Linked DNA regions of Tamandua tetradactyla. The protein of the gene in region 1 interacts with the protein of each later gene in a pairwise test. Links are inferred from orthologs where the notes say so. Each region holds a gene or a part of one and is shown on either strand. Other genes may lie near its edges.

The links.
Region 2: the proteins of REL (region 1) and PGAP6 interact in binary tests that used the Homo sapiens proteins (3 or more experiments, as listed by UniProt). The two-hybrid records come from large-scale screens. The link is inferred for Tamandua tetradactyla from reciprocal best matches to the Homo sapiens genes REL and PGAP6.
Region 3: the proteins of REL (region 1) and PIH1D2 interact in binary tests that used the Homo sapiens proteins (3 or more experiments, as listed by UniProt). The two-hybrid records come from large-scale screens. The link is inferred for Tamandua tetradactyla from reciprocal best matches to the Homo sapiens genes REL and PIH1D2.

The regions. Positions count from the first base shown.
Region 1 is NC_135343.1:33,247,031-33,250,777, forward strand, and holds the start of REL (proto-oncogene c-Rel), read left to right. Parts: upstream 1-1,169; 5' UTR 1,170-3,747. UniProt on the Homo sapiens protein: Proto-oncogene that may play a role in differentiation and lymphopoiesis.
Region 2 is NC_135349.1:56,950,696-56,954,442, forward strand, and holds the start of PGAP6 (post-GPI attachment to proteins factor 6), read left to right. Parts: upstream 1-1,137; coding exon 1,138-1,243; intron 1,244-1,330; exon of another isoform or gene 1,331-1,482; intron 1,483-3,747. UniProt on the Homo sapiens protein: Involved in the lipid remodeling steps of GPI-anchor maturation. Lipid remodeling steps consist in the generation of 2 saturated fatty chains at the sn-2 position of GPI-anchor proteins (GPI-AP).
Region 3 is NC_135334.1:29,180,872-29,184,618, forward strand, and holds the start of PIH1D2 (PIH1 domain-containing protein 2), read left to right. Parts: upstream 1-1,158; 5' UTR 1,159-1,267; exon of another isoform or gene 1,268-1,365; intron 1,366-2,174; 5' UTR 2,175-2,206; coding exon 2,207-2,383; intron 2,384-3,735; coding exon 3,736-3,747.

The DNA.
Region 1 (3,747 bases):
TTCATTGCACTTACCTCACTGAACCTGAACACACTGCGTAACGATGAGGCAATTCATGTCACCCATGGCACGAATTCTCAGTGCGCATCTTTCGCGTTTAAAAAGTTTTAGTAGGTAAAATACGTAAAGTTAACAGAGCCCGCGCATTTTAAAGATAACGGGCAGAATCAGAAGGTGAGGGTCTCCGTATGCAAATACGTGAATTACAAATACTGCACACAGGCGACGGCCGCTTCCGCACTTGCGCTACTGCGCGCACCCGGACGCCCGCCGGCGCGGGGGCAGCGATTTGCATGTGCGAAATCGGGAAGAGGGGGAACCACCTATCAAAAACCCCGGACCGTCCTCCGCCCAGCTCAGGTGGGCCGGCCCCACTTCGCCGCCCGCCCCGCCCCGAAGGGCTCCCCGGCGGCCGGCCCTCTCGACGTCACCGCCTCGTCCCACCCGCTCCTGAACTTTAAACCAGGCAGAGGAGAACAATCTGGAGGAGGGGGATTTCTCCGGAGCCCGCGGCTTCCGCACGCTCGAGACCGTCACCTCCTGGCTCCCGTCGTTCCCTGCGCTCCCAAAGATTCTGCATTCCGGGATCCGGGGCTCCCGCGACGCAAGTCCCGAGCCCGCTGCAGAAGGAGGACGCACGCGCGGGGGCGGGGAGCGGGCGCGGGTGGCAGGGGCGGGGCGGAGCGCGCGCTCGCCGCGGGAACGCCCTGCCCCCGGCTCCCGGGGGAAGGCGGTGGCGAGGGGCCGACGTCAGCCGCGGGAAATCCCCCTCCCGCCCTGCTGTCCGCCTCCTCGGCCCGGCTGGTTCTCGGCTCTCATCGCGCTCCGCCCCCTGCCCCTGGCTCCCGCACCCAGGACCGGCGACGCTGGGTGACCCGGAGCGCGAGAATCAAGGGGGTGGGAAGGTGTGAGCCGCAAACTCAAGGGAGGGCGGGAAGAAGAGGAGGGTCCGGGGGTGGTCCGGCGAACTGGGGGTCCCGCCGGCAGAGGTTCCGCGGTCGCCTGACTGACTGACGGGCTGATTGGCTTCGGCGGCCTCCTGCCCGGACGCTTGGGGTTGCCTGCGGGTAGGCGCGGTGAGCGGAGCCATGGCTTCGGGTGAGTGTTTCAGGCAAGGGGGACCGAGGGCCGTGGCGCGAGGCCGGGCCGGGATGTCGGGGCAAGGGCTCAGGGGAAGGAGCTCGGCCGGGGGGTCTTCCTCCTCTGACGGTGGGGGCTTAATGAGGTGGAGGGTGCGGGAGCCTCTTGGTTTCCTGAGTTTGGGTTGTAGCTCATTCTGTCTTTAAAAAAAATCGCCTTACCTGGCAGATTGTCAAGCGTTTAAAAAAGTTTCCTGGTGCAGGGTTTGCGTGCAAAATCAAAGCCACGCTCTGTAATTTGATACTATTATAATAGCCGGAACCTTAGAAATTCCTAACGGCTTGATTTCAGAATTAGGGAAGGAAGACCCTAAATCAAGGAGGACGCGTCGTGCTGGCATTAAAAACTGATTTGTACTGAAATGGTAGTGTTAGATTTTAGAACAGGAATGAGGAACCTTCAGAGCCGGGAATAAATTTCAGATGTCGAGAGGTGAACCCAGTTGTGCTGACAGTTGTACAATATGCGGCGAGGCTTTAAAACTTGTCAGTGGTATTTGTCCTAAGTGGAGATGTTGCTTCAACAACGTGGGGATGATTTTTACTGTGAAATAAAGTAGGCTTTTAGTTTACCGAGTTGCCCCCCCCCCCGCCCTTTATTGAAAGTAAGGGGAAAAGAGGATTTTTATAGTACTTGTGCTTCCATGATATGGATAGGAGTAAAAACAACTTTATATCACTTATGTAAATGTTTATTTCCAGTTAGTAAATGTTTGAAACTCTTGTTTCGGAGGAAATGAGTTTAGTAGGAAACAGTTTACGGACAAGGAAGGGAGTCTCAAATCTACAAGTCTGCCGAATAATCTAGGGGATAGATTAAGTAGACCGCGTTAGAATTGGACCTTTGCCAAGATTTTGGTCCGGTGGATGGGGGCAGGGTCGCTTTCCAGGCCGAGGGAGCACCTGAGAAGACGCTGGGAAGCCTAAAACTACAGTTAATACTGTACTGGGAGGCTGGAGAGGAGGGGGCTTGTTTATGCTCGACACCCTCCCCCCCTCCGATTCTCCCAACTTTGTTTCAGTGACCCTCAGTAGAAGGCTGATGTCTCCTAGAGAAGAGGAAGTAGAAAGTATAAGGGACCTTGTAAAAGGGTTGAACTGAACAATGCTTAAATACTACGGTAGGCTGAAAAGGAAATAGGGGTGTTTCACATGACATTTGATTTCAATTTGTCTTTGTGGTTTTCATGTGAGAATACAAGTATAGTTTAAAATATTTCAACTTTCCCTTTACCCACTTCAGTGACCCCAACTTTCAGATATTCTTCTAAGTTCATAAATTCAAAGCACATTTAGACTGAAAGTACAAAGATAACTTTAAGTGTTTGGCTAATTTATTGGTTATCAAAAAAGAGATTTTGTATGAAAGTAGTAAAGAATGGTGATCGTTGCAAGTAAAGAATGTCAGGCGGCTGTCGTTTTAATCAAACTTTATTAATTTATTGCATGAATGTATTGTAATACTTCTAATTCTTTCAAAAGAGAAAAGAATTGGCCATTTTTATATAGAGTATTATAAGACCACATGATTTAAAAGTGTGCTTTTTAATGATACTATATCTTTTTAATGATACTATATCTGCTTTTATGAGGACTAAGAATTACCTAAATTGGAGGGGCAGGGAGGAATTTGAAAGTTGAAGGGTGATTTTCTTCTTTTTTTTGCTTTTTTTCAAGAGTTGCATTAAAATGGGATTATTTAAAATTTTGCAAGTTGTTTAAAAATGTAATCCAGTGTTTTGAAAACTGCTAGGCCTTACCGGATGTCATATGTAAACAAATTTTTGTAATTGAAATATATGCTCTGTATAATGTAAAAGTACCATAGATCATAATCTCATAAGCAAAATTAGTTGAGTGTCATGAGGAAGATAGAGTAACTGGGACTTTGGTAGTGTATGTGATTCTGAATTTTGTTCAGATCAGTCATCAGGTTAATTATTCAGGGTTTCAGCTCTGTCTCTAGTAACTGTTTTTCAATGCTTTGAAAAAAAGCAAAACAGCCACAAAGCCTTGATTCCAGTCTGTGGACACAATTAGAATAGCATTGTGAAGAAAAATGTTCCTAAAACTGTCTAAGATATGTATATTAGACAATTATTACTTTTTTTGTATTTATCATTCTTTTTCTATTGAATACAAGTAAAATTAGCTATTTTATGTGTGAATTCAAAACTTTTCATTGTTCCAGTAAAAGAAGCAAATTGTCTTTGTGTGGCTTGTGGCTCTGTTTACTAATAACTAGCACCATCTTTAATAAAACATGTTTTAAAATTTAGATAATTTTTTTATTAAAAAATTTCCTTAGTAAAGTTTTGCTATGTCACATAATGAAAGAACTACACAAAGAAATTGTTTCTGTAAACTGTACTACTTTACCAACTCTTTGATTATAGTATGAATTTCAAGGCAACTTTTTTTTCCTCTTGGGTTGTAGATATGATTCAACTTATTTTTAATGCTAGAGCTGGAAGTTAAGAATGGATAGCTAAAGCAAATTATTGTTTTTTTAAGTAAAAAACTGTCTATGTAAACATAAATATTGTTTCAGAAATGCAACATGTGGAAGGGTAGAGATAAATGATATAAAAGAATTAAGGTGATATAT
Region 2 (3,747 bases), on another chromosome or scaffold:
TCCCGCAGCCATGGCTCCTCTCAGCCCCTCTGTCTGGCCTGTGGCCACCAGCCCCGGGCCTCCCCAGGGCAGGGCCTGGCGCCTGTGGAGCACGGACCGCAGGGAAGGGCTGGAGAGGACACCTCGGCGTGCAGGGCCCCGCACCTCGCAGACTGCCTGGGACTCGCCCCCGTGCGCCCCCAAACCGCAGGAGCGCCTGTCCCTCCCGGACTTGCTTTGTCACTTTGTCAGGTGGAAGAGAAGGCATCTTTGTGGATTCCCTTGCTGTGCCTTCGAGGGCCCTTCCCTGGCTCCCTCGCCGCTGGTTGCTTTCTCGGGTGTAGTTTCCTGTTGATTCGCCGTCTCCAGTGGGCGCTTTTAGGACCATTTAAACGGGCCGCTTGGGCTGTGAGCGGCGGCTGCTGGCCCGGCTCTGCAGGGAGCTGGCGTCCCCTTCTCAGCCTGCACCGGCGGCTCCCTCACGACTGAGAAGTTCCCCGTTTCCCCCAGTCCTCTCATCCTGTTCTTCTGCCCTTAGGTTTCTAATCCATTTGGAATCCAGCACAGGGGGAGTGTGACTCGCCTTCTTGGGGGGCCACCGGCTCTCCGCGTCCTGCGCAGCGCCCTCATGGACGCGGGGCCCCGTCTTTTCCTGGGAGGGTCGCGGCACCCCGAGGCCCGGCCTGGGCGACCAGCCAGTGGGGTGCGGGGCCGCGGGACTCAGGAGAGAAGCGGCAGCCCCTCACATAGCACGTGGGGAGACCCCCGGCCGCGCGCCCCCCTCTCCCCACCGGGTCACCGCCCTCGGCCCACCCAGCCGCTGCCCCCGCGCCCGGTCGCCCTCGCCCCTCCTCTCGGCGCCCCCTCCGGCCCGCAGTCCTTCCCGCGCGCCCCCGCCACCTCTACGCCCACGCCACGCGCGGCCTCCGCGCTCCCCACGCCCTCCGGCCACACGCGCCCCCGGCACCCTCGCGGCGCCGCCGGGCTCCGGGCGGGCGGGGCGGGGCCTCGCAGGCGGAAGTGCCGCGGGCGCCGGCGGCCGGGACCGGCACGACCATGGGAGCCCGCCGCAGAGGCTGCGGCGGAGGCTGCCCGGGCGGCCGCGCGGGCGGGAGGCCGGGGACGCGGGCCGGGTAGCGCCAGGCGGAGCGCGCCGCCATGGGCCGGCCTGGGACCGGGACCGGGGGCGCGGCGGTGGCGGTGCCGCTGCTGCTGCTGCTGCTCGCTCAACATCCGCGCGCCGCCGGCCACAGCAGGAGGAGCGGTGAGAGCAGCGCGGGCCGCGGGAGGGGCGGCGGGCATTGTGACCCACCCCGGGCCGCGGGCGCCCTGGCCCCAGCGGCCGGTGGAGAGGACGCCCGCGCTGCGCTGAGTCCTAGGGCCCGGCTGCCCCACCGCCCTTTTCCTCCCAGGCCCTGTGCACTGGGTGGAAAGGTGGAGGGGCCCGGGAGGGGCTGAGCCGGCCGCTGGGGCAAGGGGGCGGGCCGTGGGCCTCCTGAGCCGGTGAGGGGCTGAACTGGGGGTCATCCAGACCTGGACTGAGGGCTGAGCCGGGCTTGCTGCCTGGAGGCTGGACATGATCCCTAGTGGCTCTGTGGGCCGATTCCACTGGGTCAGGGTCTGGCAGCAAGGGCTGCCTCTGATTTGGATTTGCTGGGTGCCGTGTCCACTTCTGTTCCTTGTGGTCCCCACCCTGGCCTGAGACCCCAGGAAGGGGCTAGTGCAGACACTGCCATCCTGTGAGGCTCTCTTGGGGCAGGGATACTGAGCCCTGGACCCAGGGGGCCAAGTGCCCTCCCGGACCCCTGTGACCTGGGATTCCTGGAGGCCACACAGGCATCCCGGCCAAGCCTGATGCCCAGGTGGCAGTGGGCACCTCACCATCTGGCCCACTGCCCCTCAGACCCCTAAAACCATGCTCCTCTGAGCTCCTGTCTCTTCCGGGCAGTGCCTTCTTGTTTCAAAGCTAAGCACAGCTCGAAGTGAAAGCACCCCTGCCCCCCGCTGAGGACAGCACTCCTGATAGCACTGCTTGCTCCACTTTCTCCCTCCCAGAGTCCCAGGGTCCCAGGGTCAGGGGTGCTGGCCGGCAGGGTGGGGAGGGCTTGGAGCTGCAGGTGCTCATGAGCTGCTCAGTCCCTCGTCCCCGAGGCCCCGGCTCTGCTTGGGCAGGGGCTGAGACAGGATGCCCCACACTCGGCCTCCATGACAGGCCCAAGGACTTTCTCCCCACCCCCCCCCAACCCTGTGTCCCTGAAGGTGCACAGGGTGGGGCTTCAGGGGCTGGGGATAGGGTGGCCTGGAGCGGCTCTCCTCTCTCGGGCACCTGCTGAACTTCCCAGAGTGAGCTGAGCCCCTCCGCCCCACCTCCCTATACCCTCCGCCTGCCCTGCCCTGCTCGGCACTGGGGGTCTAGCTGGCTGTTTTTCCAAGGCCCTGGGGTCCAGGGGCACGGCCGGGTGTGGCGGGGCCGCCATCTCAGGTCCCAGCACGGCAGGTGTTGTCGTGCCTTCTGAGGGGCAGCCTTCCGTTTGCTCAGCAGCTCCCAGCCCCCAGGTGCACAGGCTGGTTGGCAGGACCCAGGGGCTGCAGCCGACGGGAAGCTGAGGCCCACTCCAGCCTAGCACTGACTGACTTTTGCTGACGTGCTGTGATGTCCTTGCCATGGGGTCCCGAGGCTGTGACAGAGGGACAGCGGCTCACCTGCTCCCTTGCCTGCCGCCCCGAGCTATGCTGCCGGCTCGCAGAGGGGAGAGCCCTGGCAGGAGGGCGAGGCCTTGCTGTGTCCACACATCTCTCCCCAGGGCCTGTCAGCATCCGGGAACCTTGGAGGGCGGGCCCAAAGGGAGGGAGCTGTCCGCTTGTTCACTTGCCCACCTGCGAGGAGCCTGGGCCAGAGGGGAGGGGACGGCCCAAGGTCACAGGAGTGCTGGGCTGGCACCAAGGCCGGGCTTCTGGCGTCCTGCCCAGGCCCTCACAGATCCCAGACCTGGCACCAGGAGAGCCCCCAGTGGGGTGGGAGGTCTTGGGGAGGCGGTGTGGTCCACTCGCAGGGCAGCTTCCAGTGTGGGTCCCAGGCTCCTGCGGTGGCTGCGTCCCGGTCAGCGGTGCTCCCAGGAGGGACCCAGCCCAGGGTGGGGCCTCAGGTCTCTGGGCCGAGTCCCCACGGACAGCTGAGTAAGCCACAGAAGTGCAAGGGAGTGAGCGACGTGTGCAGACCCTGGGGGGCTGTCTCCTCCGGGGACCCTGGGGCAAGTCGCAGGGCTGCAGGCCCAAGAGCTGCTTCCAGGACTGGGCCACGGGGACCCTCAGGCTCGGGCTGGGCCCAGGCAGTTTTGCAGATTCTGGCTGGTTTGGGATTTGTGGGCGGGTTTGGGGGTCCTGGGCGGATTGTGGGCTGTGGGCAGGTGTCCTTGCAGCACACAGACCAGCTGTCCCCTTGGCTCCATGTCTGGCCTATGCCTGCTGCCTGGCTGGGTGGGCACAGGGGCACCAGGTGGACGGGCGGGGGACCCAGGCCCCAGCCTAGCAGGTGGAACTGCTGGGGACATACAGTACGCGGGCGGTGGCAGGTGTGGGGGAGTATGTCGCAGTGTCAGGGGTCCGAGGTAGGCACGGGGGCGGGACTGCTACCTTGAGTCTAACCGGCGCCTTCAGCTGTAACCTATCTCTGGAGACCTCAGGGCTGCGGGAAGAGGACAGAGCAGTGGAGGGCAGCACCCCAGCCCGTGGAGGGAGGAGTGGCTGCTGGGCACCCCAGTGAGCTCT
Region 3 (3,747 bases), on another chromosome or scaffold:
GTCGGCCAGAGAGTCTCAGGCAAGCAACGTATATATAAAGATCCAAATTAGAAAATTCTTGATTCCCAAAATTAATTTGCAATGAAGCAAATATCTAAATTTAAAAGTGTCAGTGACTACAAGTGTCAACAAATATAAAAACTGACTCTTGGAAACATCAGATGCAGAGATACCCTAAATTTCTTCCTTCAGAGAAATTTTATTTCCTATTTTGTGCAAAAGCTTCCAACTTCTAGAGGACAAAGATATTAACGTGTTAGCTAGCAGGGGCTTTGTGCAACCACCCCATAGCTCACTCACCCCTCGATCCTGAGGAAATCAGGCATCTTGTTAGTGTGAGACGAAGAACCACTCCATTACAAGATCTCCTCCGACCCAGGAAGCCAAGGAGTCAGGGCTCAAAGGCAGCTCTGCAGCTTCACCCGAGTCCTTCGTGAAAACGCAGCCTTCCCACCGGTTATTATGCCCTCACCCGTGGCCCAGGCATGGCTGCCTTTCCCCCAGCCCAGACCGACAGGCAGTTCTCCCGAAGCGAGGCCGGAGCTTGCGCTGGAGCGGAATCTGGACGGCCCGGTCGGCTTTCCCCGCTCAGGCTCCGCTGGGATGGACCCGGGGACTGAGTTTTGCTCCCCAGATAAGGACGGGGACGTTCTGGATAAGTATGACTTTTCGGCTGGGCCCCGGGAAGTATCTAGAGGGCCTGACGGGGAGGTTGAGGTCTCCAAGAGGAAGACAGAGAAAATACCCCCATCTTTATCACCGGTATCCCCGCCACCCAGCGGCCAACGGCCTCGGAGCTCCCGGTAACCTCCCCTCCAAACGCCCTCCCCACACAAATACACACAAACACACCCATACCGTGCGCCGCAGCCTCGCGTGGCGGGGGTGGGGGGAGGAAGCGATCTGGGAGAAAAAGGAGGAGGCTTCCCTTTCAGGCCGGAAGTCGTGCTCCTGAGAAATTCTTCCCACCAATGGTTGGCACAGAGTGTGTCACAGATAGAATTTACAGGATACTCCAGAGGTCGATGGATGCAAGTGGGAGGCTGGCGCTTTTCTGGAAGAGAAGTGGGTCAGACCCGGCAGAAAAGTGAACCCACGACCGGAAGAGTGAGATTCCGGAACTGGAAGTAAGGAGAACTTTCTGACTGGTGCTTCCCGGACCCAATTAAGCGTTGCGCCCAGCCTGGTTACCCTGGTAACAGGCGCCGCGCTGTGTGTCAAGGATCCGAGGGAAGTGGATTCACCGGCCTCTGGAATGATTGCCCAAAGTTAAGTTTCCTATTTAGCCTTATCTCATACAGTATTCGAAGCCTCAGTCGGTGGTATGGGACTCCTCTCCAGTGGACGCGGAGGGAAGGAAATAGGGTAGGAGTGGGGGACGTGATATTCCAAGATCTAGAAAGGGTATTTTTACTTTCATTTAGCGTTTACCAAGTGTAAATCTATATATATATATTAGTTTACTCAATCCTGCAAGTAACTCCTTGAGATAGGCATTTTATTATCGTCTTCATTTTGAGAATCACCTAATATATATTATTAACAAAATATATATATATATTTTATATAATAATATATATATATATTAATATATATATAATATATATTATATATATATTATATATATATATTATATATATAATATATATTATATATATAATATATATATTATATATATAATATATATTATATATATAATATATATATATATAATGTGTGTGTGTGTGTAACTGCTCAAGGTCATCCATCTAGTGATAGAGCTAAGATTAGAAGCTTAACCTTCTGGCTCCAGATTCCATGCTTTTATCTACTAAGCTATACCGAAGTTTCCAATGGACCTCACCCCACACGCACCTCTGCCAACTCCAGGACTGGGGAGCCGGCAATTAAGGATACACAGGTGTTGGAACAGGAAGAGAGCCAGAAACCCAAACTGAAAGTGTCTCCTCTCCCATCTCTAGGCTTGTGAGATTCCAAATAGGGGTAAGGCCTTATCTTTGATGACTTGAGAATTAGGAAGGGGTGCTGAATAGGAAATAAGGAAAAGATAGCAGCGCTAAGCCACAATCTTTGAGACACAGATGTTAAGGTAGCTGATACCTGTCCTCCCTCCCCCCAAAGTAGAAATGACTTACCCACGCAGATTTTTTCCCCCTTAACTCGTGTCTTTCCACAGGTTTAAGAGACCTGTTCACCATCATTAATCATGGACGCATCCTCAAAGGGTCTGTTTACCCAAATTACTCAATTCTGGAACCTTCTAGATGATCTGGCTGAAAGTGACCCTGAGCGCTATGACAAGTTCATTAAATGGCAGCTGAAAGAGGGGAAACAGTTCTGTGCTGCCCCAGAACCACAGCTGTGTCTACAGACGAAGATCCTGGTGTGTAGAGTTGGTGTCATGGCTGGGAAAGTGCTGAACAAAATGATTCTGGAATAACCAGAGGATAGCATACCCTTAGCTATTGCCACATAAACACAAGAAAATTGAAGAGAAACTGCCATTCTAGAAAATGAAAAGTAGTGTGGAAGATTGTGTTGAGAAGTAAGAGTGGTATTCATACTTGTTATATTTTGGAGATGTCAAATGAGGTCTAGAATGAAAAGAGAAAGTAATGTAATAATTTAAAGGAGAATCATGGAATTGGAGCTTTTTCAAATAAAGATAACTGTTTAGTTGGTGCAGTTAAGAAGTGATGTGATAGGGTCAAGTGAAATAATCTACAATTATTAGATTAGATCAATTCCCTCCTCCCTCACCACATCTCCACCCGAGTTCCTTTCTGGGTTCAGTTACTGGATTCTTAGTGAAAAGACAGCAGCTTTTGGGAAATCAAGAAAGCAAGAGTGTAATTTATCAAAAAACTTTAACCATGTGGATTAAAAATAAATAATAGGGGGAACAAATGTTAAATTGAGTAGATTGAAATACTAGTGATCAATGAAAGGGAATGGTAAGGAGTATAGAAAAAAATAGGGGAAACAAAGGCTAAAATATATTGGGTAGATGGAAGTACTAGCACTCAATGAGAGGGAGGAGTAAGAGGTATGTATGAGTTTTTTATTTCTTTTTCTGAATTGATGCAAATGTTCTAAGAAATCATGGTGATGAATATACAACTATGTGATATTGTGAGTTATTGATTATATACCAAAAATGGGAATGTTTGTGTTTGTATGTTATGTTTAAAAAAATTTTTTTTAATTAAAAAAAAACAGTTTTAACATCTTGTGTCTGATACTCATTTTATCTACAGTATGGACAGATGAGCAAAAAATATGGATAAGAAATAAATAATAGGGGAACAAAAGTTAAAATAAATTGAGTAGATTGAAATACTAGCAGTCAATGAGAGGGAGGGGTAAGGGGTATGGCATGCATGACTTTTTTCTTTTTTCTCTTGTTGGAGAGATGCAGATGTTCAAAAAGATGATCATTGCCATGCCAGAGGACCCAGGTTCAATTCCCGGTGTCTGCCCATGTTTAAAAAAAAAAAAGATGATCATGGTGATGAATACATAACTATGTGATGATATTGTGAGCCACTGATTGTAACCACGTCAAGAACATTTGTGTGTTTGTTATTTATAAACAAACAAAGCAATTAACATGTGAAATGACTAACCTGGAGACTAAAATTCTACCTCTTACAATTCTGTGATGAGCTGCCTTTAGGATATTATTTTAAAATAACAAACTACATTTTGAAATATGCAAAATTATTTGCTTTCTAGAAACCAAGAGAA